Sus scrofa: one gene and its partner. The protein of the gene in region 1 interacts with the protein of each later gene in a biochemical or structural test. Links are inferred from orthologs where the notes say so. Each region holds a gene or a part of one and is shown on either strand. Other genes may lie near its edges.

Region 1 (6,456 bases):
ACATCTGAAATACCACAAATCAAAAATCTACTGTGTTGAACAAATTAAGCGGCATTCAACTAAAGGCTTGAGATTATTACTGCTTTTGCAGGGATAAACTAAGTGCCAGCTCTCTTTGGAAAGCGTGGATGGCTCTGAAAAGAGCCTTTGGGGTCGGTATGGGTGGCTGTGGGGCAACTCACTTGGCGCTTGTGTACTTGGTGACAGCCTTGGTGCCCTCGGACACGGCATGCTTGGCCAGCTCCCCGGGCAGCAGCAGCCGCACGGCCGTCTGGATCTCCCGGGACGTGATGGTCGAGCGCTTGTTGTAATGCGCCAGCCGCGAGGCCTCGCCGCGATGCGCTCGAAGATGTCGTTGACAAAGGAGTTCATGATGCCCATGGCTTTGGACGAGATGCCGGTGTCGGGGTGGACCTGCTTCAGCACCTTGTACACGTACACCGAGTAGCTCTCCTTGCGGCTGCGTTTGCGCTTCTTGCCGTCCTTCTTCTGCGCCTTGGTCACCGCCTTCTTGGAGCCCTTCTTTGGGGCTGGGGCAGATTTAGCTGGCTCAGGCATGGTGAAAGGTTGCCAAATTCTCCAGAAACGAAGAACAACGGGAGCATCGGGTTCTTTTTATTTACAACTCCTTATGCAAATTATATCTAGTGAATGCCTAGGTCTGATTGGGAAATACTAGTAATGATGTCATTTTCAATGATATCCAATCAGAACGCGCATCTACAGGAACTGTATTAGTCTTCTAAAAAGTAGAACCGCTGTTTTGGCCAATGGAAGAACTTCTTTTTCGCGCCCAGCTGTAGTTATAAATTGTGAGTGTTTCTCTTTTCTCTTCAGTCTCTTCTGTGCCAGTTTCCTATTGCGGATCATGTCTGGACGTGGGAAGCAGGAGGTAAAGCTCGCGCCAAGGCCAAGACCCGCTCCTCGCGAGCCGGGCTCCAGTTCCCGGTGGGCCGAGTGCACCGCCTGCTCCGCAAGGGCAACTATGCCGAGCGGGTTGGAGCTGGGGCGCCGGTGTACTTGGCGGCGGTGCTGGAGTACCTGACGGCCGAGATCCTGGAGCTGGCGGGCAACGCGGCTCGCGATAACAAGAAGACGCGCATCATCCCGCGCCACTTGCAGCTGGCCATCCGCAACGACGAGGAGCTCAACAAGCTGCTGGGCAAAGTCACCATCGCTCAGGGCGGCGTCCTGCCCAACATCCAGGCGGTGCTGCTGCCCAAGAAGACCGAGAGCCACCACAAGGCCAAGGGCAAGTAAGGTTTCCGTAGCAAAGCCTTCTAAACCAAAGGCTCTTTTCAGAGCCACCTACTTTTTCTGTGGAAGAGCTGGCTCGTGTCAATCCAATTGTCACTGTTACCGGTGGTTTGCGGAAGTTGAGCCAAGAGCCATCTTAAAATCGGGAACTTCTCCCTCCCCCTTGTGGCTCAACGAACCCAAAAACAAATAGTACACACGAGAGATGCGTGTTGGGTTGGATCCCTGGTGCACCCCGGTTTTTGAGCTTGGGGCTTAAGGATCCCGCGTTCGTGTGACCTTTGGCTTTTAGGACACTCATACGGATCAGATCTCGCGCGGCGGCGCCCGAAGTGGCGGGTGTGGGCGTAGTTATTGTTTTTTGAATCAGGGACCTATCAGAACACGGCGCGGGCTTTTTAAAGTTTCAGCCATGTTATTACATCCTTCGTATTTTGTAAACTTTCTCGGAGGAAGAAAGTTGAATGCCTGAACCAAAGTAAGAATATAAGAGGACAGTTGATATTTAGTGCACAGCTGTTTTCAGAGGTCTCTGGGTGGCTCTGAAAAGAGCCTTTGGGGGTTTGCTACCTCGAGCGCCAACTTCCTACTTCTTCTTGGGAGCCGCCTTCTTGGCCTTTGCAGCTTTGGGTTTTGCTGCCTTAGGCTTTGCGGCTTTGGGCTTGGCGGCCTTAGGCTTCACAGCCTTGGGCTTAGCGGGGCTCTTGGCAGCCTTTTTCGGCTTGGCGGCGGCCTTCGCCTTCTTAGGGCTCTTGGCCACCTTTTTGACGCCAGCAGCCGCGGGTTTCTTGGCCTTCTTGGGCGTCTTCTTCACAGCTTTCTTGGCCCCCGCAGCCTTCTTTGGCTTCTTAGGGGTGGACCCGGCAGGCTTCTTTGCCTTAGCGGCCCCAGCCTTCTTCGTTTTGGGCTTGGCTTCCCCAGTGGCTGCCTTCTTATTGAGCTTAAAGGAGCCAGAAGCACCGGTGCCCTTGGTCTGCACCAGGGTGCCCTTGCTCACCAGGCTCTTGAGACCCAGCTTGATGCGGCTGTTGTTCTTCTCCACATCGTAGCCTCCCGCTGCCAGCGCCTTCTTGAGCGCAGCCAAAGAGAGGCCATTGCGCTCTTTGGAGGCGGCCACGGCCTTAGTGATCAGCTCAGAAACTGGGGGGCCAGTTGCCTTCCGCTTGGCCGCCCCTCCGCTCGCAGGCTTCTTTGTTGCCTTCTTCTTAGCAGGGGATTTCTCCACCGGCGCCGGGGCAGCCGTCTCAGCAGGAGCGGTTTCCGACATGGCGATGGGAGAAACTGCCAGAGGAAGTAGGATTCAAGATCCGAAGAGCAAGTTTTGCAATGCTGCCTTGCTGGGGCCTGGGGCTTATATAAGCCGGTGCTGCCCTGTGATTGGTGGAGCGTCCAATCCACCGCCCTAGGGCAGCCGCCTCTCGTGGTTGGACTTCCAAACTGTGTTTGTTAGTCCCCCAAATTTGATTAAATGCTAAAAAAAATCGTACAGAATTTTATCCTTTGAAACTCCAAAGGAGGAAAATAGCCTCCAGGTTCACATACTTGTTTGTGTTTTAATGAATTACGCGCAACTGATGAAAGATATTTTAAAAAATCCCTTCAGCTTTTCATAGGAATCCACCGGGCTCAAGGCATCGAGCTAGTTAGTTGGATGTTACAGTAAATTCCTAATAAGTATCAAGCGAATGTTTTTAAAAAGGATTTGTCCCTAAATTCGGCCTTTGATTCTTGCAGTAGGAAAGACACTAGGTTCCTTGGTTTTGCCATAAACTTGGTTTCCAACTGCAGGAAGTAACACAGGCGCAGGGTGGCTGGTTACATACAGCCCCAAATTAACCATATACATCTTTCTTTAAAAACCGGTTTTGCCTCTCAAGGAGTTTCCACATGCCCATGTCTTCAGAGACGTAATAGTACTGTTGCCAGAGTGACTTCTTCCAGGAGGAATAGAATTTGCTTTGGCTTCAGGATGGAATGAACTGCATTCAAATTCAAACAAATTTAGTATGTTTTTGACTGAGATGCCTTTTCTCCTTGGCAAATCCATTAAAGTATGAACAAAAATTGCTTAGCCTAGATAATGTATTTTTAAAAAAAACTCTGATACCTGATAAAAATTATTCAAGGGTTTCCAGGAGCCCTCAAAACCTCAAACTGTTTTAGATGGCATGGGATTTTGTCTATCTTTCAAGGCGCTTTTCCCAGTGCTCTCACTCAAACTCCTTAACTCCATCTACATTTAACAAATTTCCATGGTCAGGAACATTCTCTTTTGTAGGACATCAGTGTGGGAATTTTTATGTATTTAAGATAGACCTATATGCTTCAGTGAAATAATTGCCTACTATGAGAAGTATGGGTTGAGCATTAAGGGACTGGAGGTTATAGAAGTTTAGAAGAAATTAGGAAAACATTAACATTCAAGAAAACTGAGGCAATGACCAAAAGTTTGAAGGGACAGTGAATTTTTCTATTTACTGAGGAGAGGTGCGAGATATGGACAGGATTTTGAGCTTGGTTGTGATGTTTAGGATACCTAATGCAACCAGCAGTTGGTTCTTCCCTTTGAAAAACGGAGAACCAACACACTTCAACCCCAGGAGCTCCTGGAATTGAAATTACAGCCTACTCTAGTAAAATCTGGACAGTCATCTGTTTTTGCATGGCCCTCCAGCCAATTTTTTCCATTTTAAATTTTTTTTTAATGTGACAGACTATATTTTGCCCCCTAAACCTATTTACTATTGTTGTGTTTTGTAACTCCTCACAGACACGTTATGCTGCTTCAGGCTTGCTTGCATCGTTCAGAATTATGCAAATCAATAACTAAAGAAAGGGAGATTTTAACAAGAAAATGTTCCAACTAAGCATTTCCCATTTTTAATCCCCAAACCTTCAGAATATTTTGTAAGGGGGTTTGAGGGGTGGCGAGGTCCATGCTTTAGTGGTAGGAGAGGCCAATATTTGTTGAGTATTTAACTAAAGTGCCAGGAACTAACCTTAGCACTCTCTACAAACTTTAATCCGTTTGCCACATTTTACAGCTGTACAAAGGAGTCCCAGAAGGAGGCTGTGTAACTTGGTAAAGGTTATACAGGTAAAAGCAATTGGCAGCTGTAAGGCTTGAACCTCAACCTTATTTCTTTCTACAACAGGAAGACATGGAGCACTATCTGTAGTCACAGCACAGTACTTGGGGGGCGAGGGGAAGCTGCACTTGTTTCCAAAGTTATTCACGTTAGGCAGTAATAACAAAGAATGGGGCAACAGTTCTTTCCATAACTCCCATAACTGTTTAGTTTCTAAAAAGGGTTTCTCCGCCTTCCCGTTAACAGCAATAGGCTAACCTAAGAACAAAGTGCCAGCCACTTGCAGTCTGCAACATAACCTCCGAACAAGTTGGAGCCCACAATAGCTGTCTTCCAAGAACCTTGATATTTTTGGCACGACATATATCATCTAGAACCCACAGCTCCTTTTTGGTGAGAATTGAGGGGCTCTGAAAAGAGCCTTTGGGGTAGGGTATTAGATGAAGGAAGATGCCAGGAGATTTAAGCTCTTTCCCCGCGGATGCGGCGAGCCAGCTGGATGTCCTTGGGCATGATGGTGACGCGCTTGGCGTGGATGGCGCACAGGTTGGTGTCCTCGAAGAGCCCCACCAGGTAGGCCTCGCACGCCTCCTGCAGCGCCATCACGGCCGAGCTCTGGAAGCGCAGGTCCGTCTTGAAGTCCTGCGCGATCTCGCGCACCAGCCGCTGGAACGGCAGCTTGCGGATCAGCAGCTCCGTGGACTTCTGGTAGCGCCGGATCTCGCGCAGGGCCACCGTGCCGGGCCGGTAGCGGTGCGGCTTCTTCACGCCGCCGGTGGCGGGCGCGCTCTTGCGGGCCGCCTTGGTGGCCAGCTGCTTGCGCGGCGCCTTGCCGCCGGTGGACTTGCGAGCGGTCTGCTTGGTACGAGCCATGGCTGAGTCGCGCCACTTGCTTAATCGCAGAGGAGGCTGGCTTCTCAATATATATAGTGACCCTCGAGTCTTGATTGGACAATAGGGCGCAGCCTCCCTCCCCTGCCCCGCCCTTTCCACTTGCCCCACCTTTCCACCATTTCCCGCCCACAGATTTGGATCTGGGTTTATTCTTTAAGGAAGCATTTTCGCGCTTCTGATTTGGCCATTGGGTTTATTGTACAGAATAAAATTTTAGGAGTTCCCGTCGTGGCGCAGTGGTTAACGAATCCGACTAAGAACCATGAGGTTGCGGGTTCGCTCCCTGCCCTTGCTCAGTGGGTTAACGATCCGGCGTTGCCGTGAGCTGTGAGCGGCTCGGATCCCGCGTTGCTGTGGCTCTGGCGTAGGCCGGTGGCTCAGCTCCGATTGGACCCCTAGCCTGGGAACCTCCATATGCCGCGGGAGCGGCCCAAGAGATAGCAAAAAAGACAAAAAAAAAAAAAAAAAAAAGATAAAATTTTATTGGCTTTAAAAAAAGCCTGCAGGATGCATCAACATTCTTAAAGTGCTTTCTGCTACTTTAAATACGGCGTCATAATTGGATCCTTGACAAAAAGTTTACTAAATAACATGAAAGGGAACTGGTGTATGAAAAAGGCATTGAAGTTGAAATCTAGCCAAGTCCTATGCCAGGGTTATTAAGCTTCAGCGTGCTTAAACACTTTATTAAAACGAGAGCTGGCCAACTTCTTCTGTAAAAGGGTTTGATTGTACTACGCACTGCCAGCTCTAACGTAGTGTAACCACTTTGCCCTAGATGTTGCTGTGCGGGCAGTTGAAATGGCCAATAAGCCCAGGCTACACTTAATGTCTGTGCAGAGTTAATGTACGGATTACGATCAAACTGATAACGATAGGTGTGGTTGCTGATGGGGTATGGGTTAAGTGACAAAGCTCGGTTTAAATACCCCATTTTCGACGCTATAGTTGCCCTAAGCCAGACTCCACAGTTAAGTGGTCCAAAAGAAAAAAAACCTTAAGTGCATGTTGTGTATGGCTCTTCAATAGATTTGGTGGGTGGCCCTAAGAAGGGCCTTTTGAGTAAGAGTACTTGCTTGAGGTACCTCTAGCCGCCGAAGCCGTAGAGGGTGCGGCCCTGGCGCTTGAGCGCGTAGACCACGTCCATGGCGGTGACGGTCTTGCGCTTGGCGTGCTCGGTGTAGGTGACGGCGTCCCGGATCACGTTCTCCAGGAA
Region 2 (7,937 bases), on another chromosome or scaffold:
AAAGCAACCATAGGGGAAAAAAAATCCATAGCCACATCTTTAAATATATCCACTATCAGTGTTTTTGCTTCATTCCCATCATGTATAGTTCCTCTAATAGCTCTTAAATCAACTCTTTTGGCTATCATTTCCGGGGAAGTCATCGTCATAGCACCACCCCTAGTGCTTTCTCAATTTATATTCCTTTTTGCTGGTGATAGGCTTTCTTTCATACTGTGGCACTAGTCTATCCCTGAAGTACTAAATCCCTTGACCAAGGCTGGATAATGAAACTACGGTTTACCCCTAATTGTAACCTCAGGATCTTCATTCAACAACATGAAAAGAACTTACCATGGCTAAACTTTCAACTTTGCAGTTTGCAGACTGCTGGTGCAGAAAGTACTGGGTAAGAAACTGATTTATTGTTGGTGCAGCTAAGTCAAAAGCAAGGACTTTCAAAACGAGGTGCTCCATTCTCAAAACTTGTTTCTTAGTATAAGTGTCATCTGTAATGTATACAAACTCCGCTACTTCTGGGGGATATATTTCTTCAAATTTTCTACAATGAAAGAAGTTTTAAGTAATTAGTCCTCCTAAAAGAAAAGCAAGTTTACCCCAACTTGAAATTCCTTAAGTAGAATAAAACAAATTCAAAGCCTGTACTTACCACCAGTTGCTTATTTCCACTGATAATTGACCATTTCTAGCAGAGATTGTGTAAATGCTAATTAAGACCCAAATATTTCTCCCACTGCAGTCAAAGGAAATAAATGAGGCAAGAGACTTCCCAAGATGGAAACAGTACCAGAGTTCACCAAGAAACTGAAAATGTAGGAAAGTTTCTTAGAAAAATAAATGCTTTATATTTTAGTTTTTAGTTTTCATGTCTTAATGGGGAAAAAAAAATAAGATTTTGCTTATATACCAGAAAATACTTTCCAGTGGAAGGAGCCACTTTGTAATCTATATGTTCATTCAATGTGCCCTCAAATCCAGAACTAGGAAAACGAATGTCTGAAATTTAAAAATTTTCACCCACACCACCACCCCTATAGTAGTCACTGACTTTGCATTGTGTAGTATAAGTTTTAAAATGTCACACTTTAAAAATCACATTTCTTCCCTAAATAGAAAGATACTATGAATCACTTTAAATCCAACAAACCAAGTTGGACTTACGAGGCCAACAGCATAGCAGCAGTGCCCACAAGCTGAAGTTTTCCTCTCAACACAGACATCGATGAAAGAAACCTATCAATGTAGTTCACAGCCAAATGCAGGGTCTCATTCTGTAGTTTATATTCTTCTCCTACTTCAACTAACCAGTCCACGAGGATAGCCCTCATACTGTTAGTAATGTCTGGCTGTTTCTTCATGTAACCCACTTTAGGCTTACATTTAACCTGTTGAGAAAGTTATTTAGTATAGTGTTAAAACTGCAATTAGATTATTCTACCATTAGGAGATGCTACATGCTGGAAACATAGGTATAGCCTAAGAGTAATCCACTGGCAATTAAAAAATTTAAAACATTACCCTCAATTTCATTTCACCACAGTGAATAAACAACAGTATAAGAAGATTTAGAGAGCCTTTACCTCCATTTCCCTAAGGTATGTGTGAATGTCCTCATGGTAGTCTGGAACTTCATTAACACTCACTGGCTTTTCATCTTCCAATACAATTGACATGTCCATAGTATGTGGTGACTCTAGGAGAATTAAGAAATAAGATTAAGTTACTTTTAATTTTCTATCTAATTAAAGCTAAAAGTGATTGTCCTTGTAAGGAGTCCCATACTACCAAAGCATTTATTTTATCCAACTAAAAAGAGCTTCTTATGACAAAATACATAGAGGATTTCACTCTGATTTTCGTACCTCTGTCCACCTAGCTTTGGAATGATTTTAACAAGAAAAAAAAAAAAATACTGATAAGCCATTAACAGGAAAAAGAATTTGAGGAAAAGATATTTTGTTAAAGTATCCTTCATCTCCCATGACAGGAGTACAACGGTTCTGTCAGAATAAGTTAAAATCAAGTTTTGAGGTAATACCTAGGATTTGTCATAAGGGAGCTTACAGACCCCAAAGTCTGACGTATTCAAAGCACAATCTAGACGGTAACTAGAAGGCTAATGTGTGCTAAAGAGAATTATATTTGTTATGGGCAGTTCCAACCTATTAACACTACAATCAAGGGGAGATTCTTTGTTGTAAATTTAGATTATCTTTGGAGGCAAAAAGTATCAGCTATTAATGTTTTTACTTCAAGGTTTAATCTGAGGTTAAAATTTGTTGTAAATTTTACTTTTTTCTTTTTTTTTTGGTCTTTTTAGGGCATGTGGCAACTACCAGGCCAGAGATGGAACCCTCCCACAGCTGTAACCAGTCACAACATGGCAACACCAGATCCTTAACCCACTGAGCCGCAAGGGAACTCCTGTACATTTTAAATAAAAGTACACAAATTATTTTATTTTCAAAGGACTTCCCTGCTATACCTCTCATTGACAGAACTAAAATATACTAGATTTAGTGAGCCCATCTATTATATGTGGTAATGTACAAAAAAGCATAGTTCAACTGTGACTCACAGGATAACCATGTCCCTCCCTGGTGTCAGTCAATCACTCAGACTGCTTTTAAACAAAAGTTTAAAGCTGGAAGAGATGTTGATCACAACATTTATTTTTTGTCTTTTGTCTTTTTAGGGCCTCACCGGACTGCATACGGAGGTTCCCAGGTAGGGGTCTAATCAGAGATGTAGCTGCCAACCTACGCCAGAGCCATAGCAACGTGGGATCCAAGCCACATCTGCGACCTACACCACAGCTCATGGCAACACTGGATCCTTAACCCACTGAGCAAGGCCAGGGATTGAACGCGAAACCTCATGGTTCCTAGTCGGATTCGTTTCCGCTGCGCCACAACGGGAACTCCTGATCACAATATTTAAACTACATCCTCAAATAGCACTCTTTGAAATGGTATATACAAAGTGAATCTTAAGAATACAATTGAAATATATTCTCCCAATCAAGCAACATGTCCAGGGTCAGATTAAAGTAAGTGTTTGAGATCTAATAAAACTGATGTGATTAATAGTGTACCAGAGAGTATAGGATTAAGATCCTTTTGTAGGTCACTAGGTCATGGATAAACTGTGAGGCCTGAAATAAGTCACAGCCTTTCTAAACTTACCTATGCAATAATTATGATTACATTTATTTGATACAGATATTCTTTAAAACTTACCAAAACTACCATCCATTGGGTAATCAAGAGGTACCAGTGGTTTTCTTGGTCCAGGTAAAGTAACAGCTGAATTAAAAGCCAGGACATCTTCACTTTCTGGTTTTTTAGATTCAGCTGGCCTCTTTTGAGTCTCTTCTTCTGCTTCATCCACATGAATGGTAAATGCAGGTTGTTTACTGTTTGCTTTCCAAGGAGGAACAGTGACATGCTCATCATTTATAGGAAGATCCTTAAGAGGCGCAACCTAAAAATAAATAACTGGCTTTGAGTCTATTAAATGGAATTTGGCTTTCATCCCCTTATACTGCATTTACTTCCAAATACTCTATCAGGAAAATTAAACTTTATGGGGCAAAATTCAGGCAAGGAAATTTGAGTATGCGTTCCTGCAGAGGTTTTAGAGTCACACTAACGGATTACACAAAAATAATCAGGGCTAAGATAGGTGGTGGGGCAGGCCAAAAGATGCCAAATTTAGGAGAAATGGCAAAAAAGTGGTTTACCTCTTTCGCCCCAGGGTGGAGCAACAGAGCAAATTCGGTAAGATGGCGGAATTGTCCAAAAGCAAAGTATTTTTTATACCTTTTTCTAAAGTAGAGGTAATCTCTTAATTATGTGGGTAGCATGAAGGAGGTCCGGGCAATGCCTGGGGCCTAAAAGCTGAGAGAAAGGCGCGGAGGCGGCAAAGACCGTACTTAACACATACTCAACGTCGGAGGATTTGGTTTGACCATTATTGTCTATAGCAAAATACTCTCCATAGAGCAGACAGGCAACATAAACGCATAGTGCTGGCAGGGAGACTAATGGGAGAAAGGAATGGGGGTAATGTGGCATCCCACACTCGAGAAAACCAGAGGTCAAAGGGACCCCCGACACTGGCCTCCCGAAAAAACCCCAGGAGATGCTACCTCGCCACTCTCCTCTGCGGTCCAAACCCATGCAAAACTCCCGCTTGGCCCACCCTCCTCCAGATAATAACTCATTTACCCGTCGCGTCTTAGGCCTCTGCTGCAGCGCTGGACCCCGTGAGTTCCCGGCCTTCAGTACCGCCAGCCCAGCCCGGGTCCGGGGCTGCTGGGCGGCCGCAGCCTTCTCGGGGTTGATGTTCTCTTGGTCCTCTTGGAGCGCCGTCTGCTGCAATGTTAGCAACGCCGAGCCCGCCTCGCGGGCCACAGGCCCGGGCGCGGAGCTGCCCAACATCACTGCTCCCGGGGGCGCGACGGGATCAGCCTGCGGCGCCAAGCAGCGTGCACTGCGTCCCGCCGACCCGCCGAGGAACACTCCTGCCCTACCTACCCGCCACAGCCCGGGCCAGCCTGCCCGCCCGCCTGCTCAGGATCGTGCAGGACCAAGGAGGTTGCAAAAGCCGGAGGCAGGCGCTGCCGGGCGTGCAGGGTCAAGGACGCCCCCGGAATGAAGCGAGCAGCCCGCCGGAGCGGCAGCTGTTCCTGCAGTTCAAGTAGCCCGCGACTATTGAAATGGACCAATGATAAGGGCCAAGGCCCGTGACGTCACGCTGGGCGACACAGTCGCAGGCAAGTGAAGGCTGCCGCGAAGGAAACCGAGCAGGGGCGGAGCGGGGCGAAGAAAAGTCGGTGAGCAGCAGGAGGAAGTACGCCCGCGCTGCGCAAAGAGGCGGGGCCTAAGCTTATTGTGACTTTAAACGGAGCCACTAGGGGGTCCCTGTCTCAGAGCAAGGGCTGTCTCTAGAATAAACTAAATTAAATTTTAACAATTATTAGTGGGCCACCTTGGCCTTTAGCCTCAGGACCTCCAGTTAGCTCGACTGACTAGTTTCTCAAGGTCTAAAATCTGATCCGCCCACTTACTGGCCCGGTGATCTTGTTCAAGCACTTCAATGTTGATTCTCAGTTTTGTAACTGTTAATTGGGAGTAATAATGTTTATGCGTTATATAGGTGTCCTTAGTATTAAATAACGTGCATAAGTCATTTAACACACTGCTAACGTAACTGATACTCAAGTGGCAGACTACATCATCTTACCATTTAAGTGCTTCGCACAGTCATGCTTTTTATTTTTCTAATGATGATGCAGTTATTTTGAAGTACCACCTTGTACTACTGTTGATAGATGTAGCAAAGAGTAATGTACTACAAAAAAACTCCACTAGATGGTCATTAATGTTCATCTCTTTCTTTCCCAAGCTGTGGTAGCCAACAAAAAGCAGAGTAAAATTCTAGTGATCTATATATAATTATGTGCTCCATTTAGAAATGAATGTTTAAATATAGTAAAAACAATATGACCTTATTAAAATAAAACTCTGTTAGCAATATGTGCCTTAACAAATTCTAACATTTAATATACAAGGCTTGCACATATCTAATAATTATAATGGTATATAATTAAGAAGCACTGTTTTCCAACAAATTCATGAGTGTGAGCGAGCCTTTCTTGAAAACATAAAAAATAGCTTATTTTCTATTTCCTTACGGTATTTTAAAACACCCTTTACGTACAATATTCACCTGAATATGAATCAATATGAATTAAGATTAATGAACAAAACTTCCATAGCCTTAAAGTCATATTTCCCCCCATATATGATTAAAAGGAGATCAGTGGATACTATGGCAGGAAAATCTAAGAAGCTATCACTATTTTTGCACTATTCACATGTAGTACACTTACATAGTCCTACTAGTTACAGCACATTAAGTTACGATCCCCCAGTCTGTTCAAGCCCACCCAGGTGATTTCCCTTGGTCATAACAAGTTAAATATAGCGCTGAGTCAACTCAAATATTTCACAAACTGAGCATGGGTCACAAAACATTACTAAGCAACAGCAAAATCAGTTTTGCAAATCAATCTCAATTCCTAGGAAAAAAAATTTATAGGTTGTACACATACATAGTAACCAAAACATAATCCAGGAACCAGAACTTGGATCCCATATTTACAAATTAATAGCATGTCTTCTTAAACACTTAACCTCACTAAGAATCAGTTTTCCTATATGAATTGACAAAATGATCATAAATATATTGTCAAGATCAAATGAGATAACATACATAAATACAATTTTGAAAACTGAGTTTATACATATATGTATTAGCTTGTTAAATCTTTGAATATATTTTTACTTTACAAATAATATTTCTCAATTAAAAGTTAAAACATCCACTTGGAAAAAATTCATTAAAATCCATCAGACTCATTTCATTTATGTTTTAAAATAAAACATCTCTTCATTTTTAAAAAGTTTCATTTGTCAAAAAAATAGAAGCATTACTTTAAAAAAGGTTGTACCTCAAATATTTTTAGATATTAAAAAGCACTTGAAATAAAAGTATGTACTGTTAGCTTGTAATTCTGTTTTAACATTTTTCATTTAAACAGACAATTATTTAAACAGCTTCTTTGGAGCTTTACCTTGTTTACATTTCATGCAGCATCAAAGAAAGCAATCAATGCATTTTGGTCATAACTGTCCAGAATCTCCAGTAAAAGAGGCACTTTGGTTTTTACATTGGTGCCTTTGAACTTGAATTTATCTATGAAAAGATCGGTGATCATACCTAGAAAGAAAAAAATAATTTCCTGTCATTGAGTAGTTCTATTAATGAAATAATATTTAATGAAAGTAAGCGATTGCTTGAGAATCTATTTCCAAGCACTTGTAATTCCATTACTTAACATACACAAACCTAAAAGGATTGCTGCATTAAAACTCTTTTGGGGAGTTCCCTTGTGGCTCAGCAGAAACAAATCTGACCAGCATCCATGAGGACACAGGTTCAATCCCTGGCCTTGCTCAGTGGGTTAAGGATCCAGCATTGCCGTGAGCTGTGGTGTAGGCTGTAGATGCAGCTTGGATCTGGCGTTGCTGTAGTATAGGCTCCAATTTGAACCCTAGCCTGGGAACTTCTATATGCCTCAGGTGCAGCCCTAAAAAGACAAACCAGAAACAAAAAACCCTATTTATTTTGGGAGGATTTTAAGGCCAGTTTCAAAATATAAATCATTTGGCTAATAACCCTCTTAACAACTGGTTACAAGATATTAATTCAGACAATCAACTGCTGGCCAATTCTGAACTGCTACTGGTATATACAAAAATACAACAAGTGAGGGTTTTTCTTCCCTAAGAGGCCAACCATTTTGACATAGTGCAGACAAATTCTGTTTTGTAACAGCTTTAATTGAATTAAAATATCCCAGCTATACGTTGACCATTCTTGGGATCTGACTTGACAGTAAATATTTCTAGATTCACATATCTGGGAAAATTATTTAACCTTTGAGTTTTCATGTATGTATAGTGGGAATAATTCAAGCTATCAATCCTTTATTCAAAACCCTTGATGCAAGACACGTTTCAGAATTTTTCATATTTTAAAAAATTAATAAAAGGAATATAATATACCATATATATGGCATAATACTTGTGGAAAACGAGTGGAAGCATTTGATAAGAAAACATATCATTCCTGCAACAAAATGTATGAATATTCACACTAAATAGAATAAAAAATATATACATAACTAACCTCATATTAGTTGAAGTGAGATTTTGTCATTAAATTAATTTAGATAAAGTCAGATTTATTGCCAAATGATTTATGAAAAAAAAAGCTTTAGCTTTCAAAGTTTTCTGGACATCAGAATTGGTGATAAGAGACGGCAGTTCTGCACCACCCAACTTCTAAGTTGTTATGAGGATAAAAGA

The links.
Region 2: of the proteins of histone H1.5 (region 1) and CCNA2, one has a biochemical effect on the other in vitro, tested with the Homo sapiens proteins (2 studies listed by BioGRID). The link is inferred for Sus scrofa from reciprocal best matches to the Homo sapiens genes H1-5 and CCNA2.

What each region holds. Positions count from the first base shown.
Region 1 is NC_010449.5:21,620,073-21,626,528, forward strand, and holds histone H1.5, read right to left. Parts: upstream 2,575-6,456; 5' UTR 2,525-2,574; coding exon 1,844-2,524; 3' UTR 1,791-1,843; downstream 1-1,790. UniProt on the Homo sapiens protein: Histone H1 protein binds to linker DNA between nucleosomes forming the macromolecular structure known as the chromatin fiber. Histones H1 are necessary for the condensation of nucleosome chains into higher-order structured fibers.
Region 2 is NC_010450.4:102,256,919-102,264,855, reverse strand, and holds the start of CCNA2 (cyclin-A2), read right to left. Parts: upstream 4,511-7,937; 5' UTR 4,443-4,510; coding exon 4,230-4,442; intron 3,484-4,229; coding exon 3,240-3,483; intron 1,694-3,239; coding exon 1,581-1,693; intron 1,386-1,580; coding exon 1,162-1,385; intron 542-1,161; coding exon 334-541; intron 1-333. UniProt on the Homo sapiens protein: Cyclin which controls both the G1/S and the G2/M transition phases of the cell cycle. Functions through the formation of specific serine/threonine protein kinase holoenzyme complexes with the cyclin-dependent protein kinases CDK1 or CDK2.